3 linked regions of the Xenopus tropicalis genome follow. The main gene of each other region encodes a partner of the protein of the gene in region 3 in a complex. Links are inferred from orthologs where the notes say so. Each region holds a gene or a part of one and is shown on either strand. Other genes may lie near its edges.

What was found.
Region 1: erc1 (region 3) and ppfibp1 share a complex: the UniProt entries of both Homo sapiens proteins name them as parts of the cortical microtubule stabilization complex. The link is inferred for Xenopus tropicalis from reciprocal best matches to the Homo sapiens genes ERC1 and PPFIBP1.
Region 2: erc1 (region 3) and ppfia1 share a complex: the UniProt entries of both Homo sapiens proteins name them as parts of the cortical microtubule stabilization complex. The link is inferred for Xenopus tropicalis from reciprocal best matches to the Homo sapiens genes ERC1 and PPFIA1.

What each region holds. Positions count from the first base shown.
Region 1 is NC_030679.2:2,632,882-2,636,535, forward strand, and holds part of ppfibp1 (liprin-beta-1), read right to left. Parts: intron 3,472-3,654; coding exon 3,414-3,471; intron 3,083-3,413; coding exon 2,911-3,082; intron 1,076-2,910; coding exon 1,043-1,075; intron 132-1,042; coding exon 1-131. UniProt on the Homo sapiens protein: May regulate the disassembly of focal adhesions. Did not bind receptor-like tyrosine phosphatases type 2A.
Region 2 is NC_030680.2:14,493,384-14,497,037, forward strand, and holds part of ppfia1 (liprin-alpha-1), read left to right. Parts: intron 1-1,995; coding exon 1,996-2,259; intron 2,260-3,654. UniProt on the Homo sapiens protein: May regulate the disassembly of focal adhesions. May localize receptor-like tyrosine phosphatases type 2A at specific sites on the plasma membrane, possibly regulating their interaction with the extracellular environment and their association with substrates.
Region 3 is NC_030679.2:9,627,583-9,631,236, forward strand, and holds part of erc1 (ELKS/Rab6-interacting/CAST family member 1), read right to left. Parts: intron 2,947-3,654; 5' UTR 2,792-2,946; coding exon 2,123-2,791; intron 1-2,122. UniProt on the Homo sapiens protein: Regulatory subunit of the IKK complex. Probably recruits IkappaBalpha/NFKBIA to the complex. May be involved in the organization of the cytomatrix at the nerve terminals active zone (CAZ) which regulates neurotransmitter release.

The sequences.
Region 1 (3,654 bases), about 7.0 Mb from region 3:
CAGTTTCCGTATCCCTCGCGGTTTCTTCTTGTAGTCGGGGGAGGAGGGGGAGCTGTGGGTGCTGCCTCCATCCATGGAGTTGGGGGAAGAGAGCGCCAGATCCAGGTGATCAGTGGATCCCTTCTCCGTGTCTGAGTCCCGGGGGGGGGGGGGAGAAAGAGTTTGGGTCACACAAAAGCAGAATATTGGGTCCAGGTGAAGCCGGAACCTACTCAGTGAATCCCTAACAGGCACCGGGGGGAGCAGAGGATCCTGGGATACCTACCTCCTCCTTCTCCAACGTCCCCCCCCCGAAATGAATTTGCCCCAGAAGCTGCCCCCGCGCCACTAACGAGCCTCAGCGCTAATTCCTGCTAACGACCGCCAATAAGGAGAGTTATGGAAAATAGAACCCTGGTTCCGTTTGGATCCGTCCCAGGGGGCGGGATTAGAACATCACGTAGGGGATACTGGTTACGGATTGGACGGGGCAAAGACAGGGGAAGTTAAAGGCAAAGTCTATTTTCCAAACGTCTCCTTATGGCGGAAGTCGTTATTAATTGCGACAATGACGCCGTCACTTTAAGCGCCAAGCGTTGAGCGGCTGCTCCAGCGCACTAAAGGGTTAATGTATTGCAAAGGGAAAATACACCTCGGTCTCTCCTGTTATTCCATAGGGCAGCTCCCACCCCGTACGCTGAATAAGCCACACCCCCCTCCTACCTTTCAACCCCTTAAGTGCCAGTCGGTAGTTGGCCGGCCGGCAGCTAAAGGGTTACACACAGTATACTTTCCCTTTAAAACGAGGCAGCGGTTGCTATAGCGTCTCTATGGGGGGGTAAATATCCACATTAGTGCGTTTTTCCAAGAACGATGAGCGTTATGGGCGGGGTTAGGGCGGCGCCCGTGGGCGTGGGTTATTATCACACCAATTAGTGATGGATCCTAGGGATGATTTAGTGGGGGGCACAACACAGCGATGGGTGGGTACAGGGGCAGCGAGGCACGATGGGGGGAGGGGCACAGCACGATGGGGGGAGGGGCACATGCGAATTTACTATACCTAGGGCGGGGGCGCTCGCACTCCGGCTGCGGTCTTCGGATTTCCGACAAAAAATGTGGAGAATGTGCAGAGAGACAGTTATTGGTAACAGACAGTACAGCAACCCGAACACAGGGGGGCGCCAGAGAGAAACGGTCGCATTCCTACTAGCTTTCTGGTTGCTATGGTCACTGATCCTAACAACCGTGAGAGGCTGACTACATGAGATGAACGTCACTGGAAGTTATTAATTCATTGATAACACCGATTGTGGTTGCCATGGGGGGGGGGGGGGTCACTGACCCTAGAAACCAGAAATCATTTAATGATAAAGAGATAATGATCTGCAACATTATTAGTCAGTTTAACTTCCCCTTTAACACTTTGTTGTGTTACAGCAGCCATGAATCCAACAATAGGGACCTTAGATTGTAAGCTCACTGGGGCAGGGACTGATGGGAATGGGATAGGGACCTTAGATTGTAAGCTCACTGGGGCAGGGGGCTGATGGGAATGGGATAGGGACCTTAGATTGTAAGCTCACTGGGGCAGGGGCTGATGGGAATGGGATAGGGACCTTAGATTGTAAGCTCACTGGGGCAGGGGCTGATGGGAATGTGATAGGGGCCTTAGATTGTAAGCTCACTGGGGCAGGGACTGATGGGAATGTGATAGGGGCCTTAGATTGTAAGCTCACTGGGGCAGGGACTGATGGGAATGGGATAGGGACCTTAGATTGTAAGCTCACTGGGGCAGGGACTGATGGGAATGGGATAGGGACCTTAGATTGTAAGCTCACTGGGGCAGGGACTGATGGGAATGGGATAGGGACCTTAGATTGTAAGCTCACTGGGGCAGGGGCTGATGGGAATGGGATAGGGACCTTAGATTGTAAGCTCACTGGGGCAGGGACTGATGGGAATGGGATAGGGACCTTAGATTGTAAGCTCACTGGGGCAGGGACTGATGGGAATGGGATAGGGACCTTAGATTGTAAGCTCACTGGGGCAGGGACTGATGGGAATGGGATAGGGACCTTAGATTGTAAGCTCACTGGGGCAGGGACTGATGGGAATGGGATAGGGACCTTAGACTGTAAGCTCACTGGGGCAGGGGCTGATGGGAATGGGATAGGGACCTTAGATTGTAAGCTCACTAGGGCAGGGACTGATGGGAATGGGATAGGGACCTTAGAGTGTAAGCTCACTGGGGCAGGGACTGATGGGAATGGGATATTAGATTGTAAGCTCACTGGGGCAGGGGCTGATGGGAATGGGATAGGGACCTTAGATTGTAAGCTCACTGGGGCAGGGGCTGATGGGAATGGGATAGGGACCTTAGATTGTAAGCTCACTGGGGCAGGGGCTGATGGGAATGGGATAGGGGGCAGAACCTGCATATTCTGGGGGGGGGCAGTTTGCTGACAGGGGAGAGGGAGGGGCTCTCACATTCCCACAGAAGAATCAGAAGCAGATTAACCCCCGGGAGACTTGGCCGCCCACATGCTGGAACTGTTCATTAACCCCTCGCTGGAAGGGACACACAAGCTGCTTGTGCTTTAGGGTTCAGACAACTCGAGACCCATTTTACAACTTTTTACATTTTTTTTTTGTTCTGCCGCTCTCAGTGTTGAACTGCTACCTGGTTGCTACGGGTTATCTACCTTAACAACCAAGAGTCTGGGGCTGAGTAGATTATATCGAAGTTATATCGAAGACTCAGGGCCCCTAAACCTTAACTTTCCTTAAGGGCAACTGAGCCACAAATTGACCTTTAAGGTCGAGCTCTGTAACCATGCAGCACCCCCTTAGTTACACACAGTGTCATTACCCGTACGACACGCAGGGGTCAGTAGAGGAGAGTTGCCCCACGGTGGGGGTGCTACATACCTAGATTGGGGGTGCTCGAGGTCTTCTTGGTATTCTTCATCTTAAAGAACCCTCGGCCAAAGGACGACCGGGCCTTACGGGTGCCGAAACTCTCGTCGTCGGTGGCCGCTCCTTGGCCGGGGGGCCGCGGGGGGAGGGTCTCAAACTTGCCCGGTTCCGGGGAGGCCGTTCTCTGAGGGGTAAACCAAGAAAAACACATCAGAAGATGCGGCAGCTGGAAATTCAGTTAGTTCTGCAGAGCAAGCCCTGCCCACTGTCTGGGGGCGGAGCTTAATCTAGAGCAGATCCAGGAAGTAGAGGTAAGGAAATAGGTAAGTACTGCAGGCATGTTTTAATAATGGGCCCTGCAGGGGGTGGGGGGGTGGGTATATAAAGGGGAAGTACGCCTGCCCAAAGCTGGTCGAAAGGGAACAGCCTTCATTGACTCTCCTAATGCCCCGCCCATTTCTGGATTTGTGCCCCGCCCATTTCTGGATTTGTGCCCCGCCCCCCGGGGCACTCACCAGTTCTGTAGGTTCCTTCTTCAGGTTATCCAAGCTGCTGGAGTTTGAGACTGGCGATCTGAACAAATGAAAATTAAAGGGGAACTAAACATAAAAAAAATACATTGAGACAGGAGAGTAAAGGGCAAGTAAACCCCAAAGTACAATGTCATGTATGCCCCCCCCGGTGGTCATACTGTCAGCAAAGATGGAGGAAGGGCTGTTTTGGTCGGGCACTATTGGGCGATACCCATTGGCAGAC
Region 2 (3,654 bases), on a different chromosome or scaffold from region 3:
TGGTTTTTAGTAGACTTAAGGTATGGAGATCCAAATTTCAGAAAGATCCTTTACCTGCAAAACCCCAGGTTCCGAGCATTCTAAATAACAGTTCCCATACCTGTACTTGAAGCAGCAGCCAAAAACTATTGCTCTGTGGGTAGACAGATTTATTGTTGTTACTTTTCATAACTTACTTTTCTATTCAGGTCCTTTCCTGAAGTCTCTCATTCAAACCACTCCCTGGTTGCTAAGGTCATTTGTACCCTAGCAACCAGATAGCTGTTGAACTAAAATTGAAAAACTACAGATAATAAAAAAAATGAAGACCAATTGCAAATTCTTAAGTTATTACGCTCTACATCAAACGATCTATGTGTAAAGCATTTTTATTCAGGCTTCCTGTAGCCTTAGGTCTCATTTATTCAAGCATGTTAATTAGCCTTATTATGTTGGACTGAGTGAATTCTATTCCAATTAAAGGTGTGGTGTAATTCATTACTTTTCTGTGTTATACTAAAGCCGGCTATACACCTAAGGTCTGCTTAATTTGGTATAAAGGATCCCCATTAATGGCAGCACAAAGTGCTCCGAGAAGGATTTTATTACATGAAACTCCTTCTGGTGCAGGTCAGGGGCTTCTTTTCATTGTATTAATGCTTTATTGATTTTTTAGTAGACTTAAGATATGGAGATCCAAATTACAGAAAGACCCCTTCTCCTGAGCATTCTGGATAACGGCTCCTATATCTAGAATGCTCAGGAGAAGGGGTCTTTCCGTAATTTGGATCTCCATATCTTAAGTCTACTAAAAAATCAATAAAGCATTAATTAAACCCAACAGGATTATTTTGCATCCAATAAGGATTATTTATATCTAGGTTGGGATCAAATACAATGTTCTATTTTATTATTACAGAGAAAAGGGAATCATTTAACCATTAAATAAACCCAATAGTACTGTTCTGCCCCAATAAGGGGTAATTATATCTTAGTTGGGATCAAGTACAGGTACTGTTTTATTATTACAGAGAAAGGGGAATCATTTAACCATGAAATAAACCCAATAGGGTTGTTCTGCCCCCAATAAGGGGTAATTATATCTTAGTTGGGATCAAGTACAGGTACTGTTTTATTATTACAGAGAAAAGGGAATCATTTAACCATTAAATAACCCCAATAGGACTGTTCTGCCCCAATAAGGGGTAATTATATCTTAGTTGGGATCAAATACAATGTTCTGTTTTATCATTACAGAAAAACGGGAAATCCATTTTAAAAATCTGATTAAAATGGAGTCTATGGGAGACAGGCTTTCCGTAATTCTGGATAATGGATTTCCGGATAACGGATTCCATACCTGTATATAATGGGAAGGTCCCTGATTACCATATATACCTGGCTGTTTTATATTCTCCTAATTACTGGGTTAAAAAAATGTAGCAGAGGCCAAAGCGACAGACCTAAAGAAAAGTGATTCTGCTACATTGTTGCAGGAGTCAGAACCAGAGAAGAGAAAGGAAACAAGCTAGCTCTTTTCTGTAATGTTGTAGATGGGATATCCAATTTAGTTACCTGAAACTACTCTTTTGACTGTCTAAGGGATTGTGTGAGTTGCAGTTCAGCAGCAGCTGTGCGGAGTCTGGTTAGATAACCCTGCTGTGAGTACTGTAAGCAGTCTGGGTGATCTATATGGCTGTCTGTTGTGTAAATATCAGCTTTTACTTCCCTTTTATGCCACGGATTTCAGATCACTCAACACCCATCCCTGCTTTGGTTTTATCAGCTGTTACACAGGGCTGGGTGTTTCTCTAGTCTGACACCTTAGCAGGAAAACATGTCAACACAGCCGTGCAACAGGACCTGGTTCAGAGTTTGTGGCTAAACACGAGCGTGTTCGTTACCTGCTTATTACTGCTTATTGCTTGCTATGTCAGGCGTGGATTTGATCTTATGCCAATGAATGTTCATTAAAGGCGACCAATCGGCTAATTGATTTCTCCTTCCTTTCCACAGATGATGTGTGAAGTGATGCCAACAATTAGCGAGGCTGAGATGCCATCCGGGGGCAATGGAGGCCATGGCTCCGGGTCTCCTTTACAGGCAGACTCCGATTCTCATTTTGAGCAGCTTATGGTGTCCATGTTGGAGGAAAGAGACCGACTGCTCGACACACTGCGGGAAACCCAGGAATCTCTAGCATTGAGCCAGAGCAAGTTCCAGGAAGCCAGCCATGAGCGGGACTCTCTCCAGAGGCAGCTGAACACGGCCCTTCCGCAGGTACAAGGCTTTTTTGGGGTGTTTTTACCCTTTGTATCAGTTTGTATTTGTTTATGTGACTAAATATATGTGTGTGTGTGTATATATCTATTGTTAAAGGGGAACTACAGAAATGTGTTAAAGACACTACACATAAAACCCTAATGTACTTATCACTGTAATCTGTTCCCTTAAAAAGAATGAATAAATTCCATTTTTATATGCTGAAATCCAGGTGCAAAACACTTCCTCTCTTCCTGCATCATCTGAAATCCTTTCAGGGGAGGAGGGACTAAAACACTGATGTTACAAATTGTAACAGCTTACAGACAGTATGCAAAGACTACATTACCCACAATGCATTGCACCGTGATGTTCCTTTCCTTGTTGACATGACTTGTGCAGGGAATTGTGGGATTGTGAGGATACAGGCTGAGAACAGGTGACTACTGTTACATTTTATTTGAGTCTCAAAGTAGTCAGCCAGATCAGCAGGGGAACAGGGGGCGGGGCTTAGGGAACTGTTCCAATCCCTATTATTACATTAGACATTATGAAAAGGCTGCGTATTTTTTTATTCATGTATATTACAAAGTTGCTTCAAATTATGTTTGTTTCGAAAAGTTGTGTTTGGGTGAGTTCCCCTTTAATTGGAAAATCTCACCTGCCTGAAGATAACTGAGGGTCCAGTGTTCTAAAATACCACAGTTTGGGAAGTGCTGTCCTAAAGAGTAGAATACAGAGTAGCAATACTCCAGCCAATAGAACCACTGCCCTACTTTATTGTGATTTTTGTGACTAATGCTGAGCTGGTTGGTCGGTTTGTACCTGTGACTGGTGGGTACTGGGTTCTGAAAGCTTCCCAGTGCTTGTATAGAGCCTGTTATATGTTTGAACTGGGATTGGGAGGACTTTTGTGCATGTCAAGAAGAAGCTGACAAGGCAAGTAACACTGACATTGTGCTTACTGCGTCTTCCTCTGGGCTTCTGCTGATGTGCTGTATTGCATACACTGTACATTGTAGCTGAGCAGATTTTTGTGCTTTAGGCTCTAAATTCTATCCAGCGTGTTCTAGCCAGTGTGTTTTAGAGCTTGTCTGGCAAAGGGTGTTCAGCTGATTCTTCGGCCCATGTATTCAATATCTGGCCGAATACATTGCAAGGGTACCCCTCGTTGATTGGTTTGTTCAGCAGATGCCTTGGCTGGATCATTTTTTGCCTAGTGTGGCCCTTCAGAATATTATAACTGGTGTCTTTTTTGGGGATTTCCTTTACAGATGGAACCTAATGAATTGTACTGGCACATTTATTAAAGTGTGTAAGCCAACATCACAGAGGATGTTGCCCATAGCAACCAATCAGCAATTAGATTTTAACAGTCACCTACAAGTTAGAAAACAAAAGCAAAGATCTGAT
Region 3 (3,654 bases):
AAAATAAAGCGGAGAGAGTCCTGTGCCACGGACAACACTATTGACCGACCTTGGGAAAGATCAGCCTCTCCAAACAGACACCATAAAGGGAATATTTAAACAAGAAGTCAAGTTCCCGAGCCCAGTCCTGCTAACCAGGCAACGGGTCCGAGAGGTTATAAAATCCAACCCGAATGCGAACTCTTTCTCTTTGCATAGCGCTTTTGTTTGCACAGTGGCAGCAGCAGCAGCATCCAAAATCCATGTACAAAACCCCAGCCAGACCCAGCAACTCTGCAATTAGGCTCGGCTTAAATACCTCTTATATTTATGTACATAAGGTGGCCATGTGTTTGGCTCTTTATACGTGAGAAGGGGGCGATGGGCAACGCAGAGAAACAAGAGGCTCTGTGTGATTTATGAAGGATGTTTACACAAGCAGTGAGTTTCCTGGGCACGGATACAAACCTGGCAACAGGGTAAAAAGGGCACAATGGCTAGAATAGCTTCTAGTTAAAGGGGTGGTTCACCTTTAAGTTACCGTGTAGTATGTCATAGAATGGTCAATGATTCCCTTTTCTCTGTAATAATAAAACAGTACCTGTACTTGATCCCAACCAAGATATAATTACCCCTTATTGGGGCAGAACAGCCCTATTGGGTTTATTTAATGGTTAAATGATTCCCTTTTCTCTGTAATAATAAAACAGTACCTGTACTTGATCCCAACTAAGATATAATTACCCCTTATTGGGGCAGAACAGCCCTATTGGGTTTATTTAATGGTTAAATGATTCCCTTTTCTCTGTAATAATAAAATAGTACCTGTACTTGATCCCAACTAAGATATAATTACCCCTTATTGGGGGCAGAACAGCCCTATTGGGTTTATTTAATGGTTAAATGATTCCCTTTTCTCTGTAATAATAAAATAGTACCTGTACTTGATCCCAACCAAGATATAATTACCCCTTATTGGGGCAGAACAGCCCTATTGGGTTTATTTAATGGTTAAATGATTCCCTTTTCTCTGTAATAATAAAATAGTACCTGTACTTGATCCCAACCAAGATATAATTACCCCTTATTGGGGCAGAACAGCCCTATTGGGTTTATTTAATGGTTAAATGATTCCCTTTTCTCTGTAATAATAAAATAGTACCTGTACTTGATCCCAACTAAGATATAATTACCCCTTATTGGGGGCAGAACAGCCCTATTGGGTTTATTTCATGGTTAAATGATTCCCTTTTCTCTGTAATAATAAAACAGTACCTGTACTTGATCCCAACTAAGGTATAAATACCCCTTATTGGGGCAGAACAGCCCTATTGGGTTTATTTAATGGTTAAATGATTCCCTTTTCTCTGTAATAATAAAATAGTACCTGTACTTGATCCCAACTAAGGTATAAATACCCCTTATTGGGGCAGAACAGCCCTATTGGGTTTATTTAATGGTTAAATGATTCCCTTTTCTCTGTAATAATAAAATAGTACCTGTACTTGATCCCAACTAAGATATAATTACCCCTTATTGGGGGCAGAACAGCCCTATTGGGTTTATTTAATGGTTAAATGATTCCCTTTTCTCTGTAATAATAAAATAGTACCTGTACTTGATCCCAACCAAGATATAATTACCCCTTATTGGGGCAGAACAGCCCTATTGGGTTTATTTAATGGTTAAATGATTCCCTTTTCTCTGTAATAATAAAACAGTACCTGTACTTGATCCCAACTAAGATATAATTACCCCTTATTGAGGGCAGAACAATCCTATTGGTTTAATTAATGGTCTATTGATTTTTTTAGCAGACTTAAGGTATGGAGATCCAAATTACGGAAAGTCCCCTTATCCAGAATACCCTTGGTCCCGAGCATTATGGATAACGGGTCCTATACCTGTAGTTACTGAAACTACAGAGTGGAGAGCTGCTGAGCAAAAAGTGAAATGATTAAAAAAGCTACAAATAAAAATAAAGACCAATTGCAAGTATTACTGTATACATCATACTAAAGTGAACGCAAAGGTTTTCAACCCCGTTAAGGGCCACCCTATGCCTTGAGTAGAAGCCACTAGGCTAGCCCGAGAGAACCAATCAGCACATATTCAGAATACAAGCACAGAAGCACTAACATACCTGATTCTCTTCTTGGACAACCCGGTATTGCTCCTTCCACACAGTGATCTTGGACACCTCGTCTTTACGCAAGGCTCGCTCCTTCTTCAGCTCGGGGCTCCAGAAGGTCTTGATGCTGTTCATGGACGAGCTCAGCTTGCTCTCTTTCACCTCGACATCTTTGCGCAGAAGGTCATTTTCCCTCAGAACTTCCTTGAGTTGGGCCTGGAGGTCCATGATGGTGTTGTCTCGTGCCTGGCGTAATGAATGGGGGACGGTGGAGGCCATGCTGACCGGTGGTAAATGATGGTCCCCAAAGGCAATGGTGTCGCTGGCCACGCCACTAGTGGCGATGTTGGGACTGCTTCCCATTGCAGTCATTCTTACGCCGTAGGGAAGTCTACCCCCGGACCTCCCCAAAGTCATGGTGCTTTTGGGTGTGTCGCCCCCAACAATTTCATGGTCGCTGAGATACATCGGGCTCGCCGTGGCATAAGCAGCATTAAGAGACTGGATATTTTCCATGGACAGGGTCTTTCCACTACCACCCCCAGGAGGCCCTCCAGAACTCCCTCCGGTGCTGTTTGTGCGGCGGTGGCCCAACCGAGGAGAACGTGGAAGCCTCGGAGAGCGGCCAGGACTCTGGCTGCTGGACTCCACCTTCCCGACGGAGCGAGAACTTCCATACATGGCTGCGATCGGAGGTGGTGGCTTGTACGCAAATGAAAAGTTAAAGGGTTCCTCTGCTTCTCCCACAAGGGATTAGGGGCAATGGTGTCAAACGATTAAAAGTTTATAAAAGATAACGGATTTTCCATGTTTTTCAGATGTCCAGTTCATGTGACCTGCAGAGAAGCAAAAACATGAGAGATGGTTACTAAATGAGCATTCGGGACTACTAGGTTGCAAGCCCATGAAGAAATGTCCTTCAACAGCCTTAAGGGTAATTATTTAATTTAGGGGTGCTCTTTTATCCCCAATTAACTTCTGATGCGGTCTTTGCCCAATGACATTGTCTAACCTGCCCGATGGATATCTGGTACGGTTTTGGCCAAATATAATCGTGAAGGCCATTGTGAGGCCACCTTGCATAGTCCAATCCAATAAGTTGCCAAGTCAGCACTCTGTAGATCCATGTATGGCAACGATTATCTAAGCTACAGGGTGAAGTTGCACTTAATTTTATCCAATGGAGCAAAGGGACCCCTAACAGTTCAACGTGCACCCACACACCAACTACAGACGCAGAAAGAATATATAAGCAGAATAATCTATTCTCTAACGTATAACCAAAAGGATATGAGAAATCAGTGTTGGGTTCCATAACCACATGAAGCTACCAGGTGACTTTCTCCAGGTAAAACATATGTAACCATAAGGAAATTACAAAATTCAAGTCCAAGGACCACAAAATGGAGGCCCCAAAGCAAGACCTTGGGCAGGACAATGAAGTCCTGGAAAGAAAACTGCAAGCACGGGCCCCACATCAAGGAGTTGGGCAGATGCCTTGTAGATTGTAAGCTCTTTTGGGCAGGGCTCTCGTCACCTCTTGT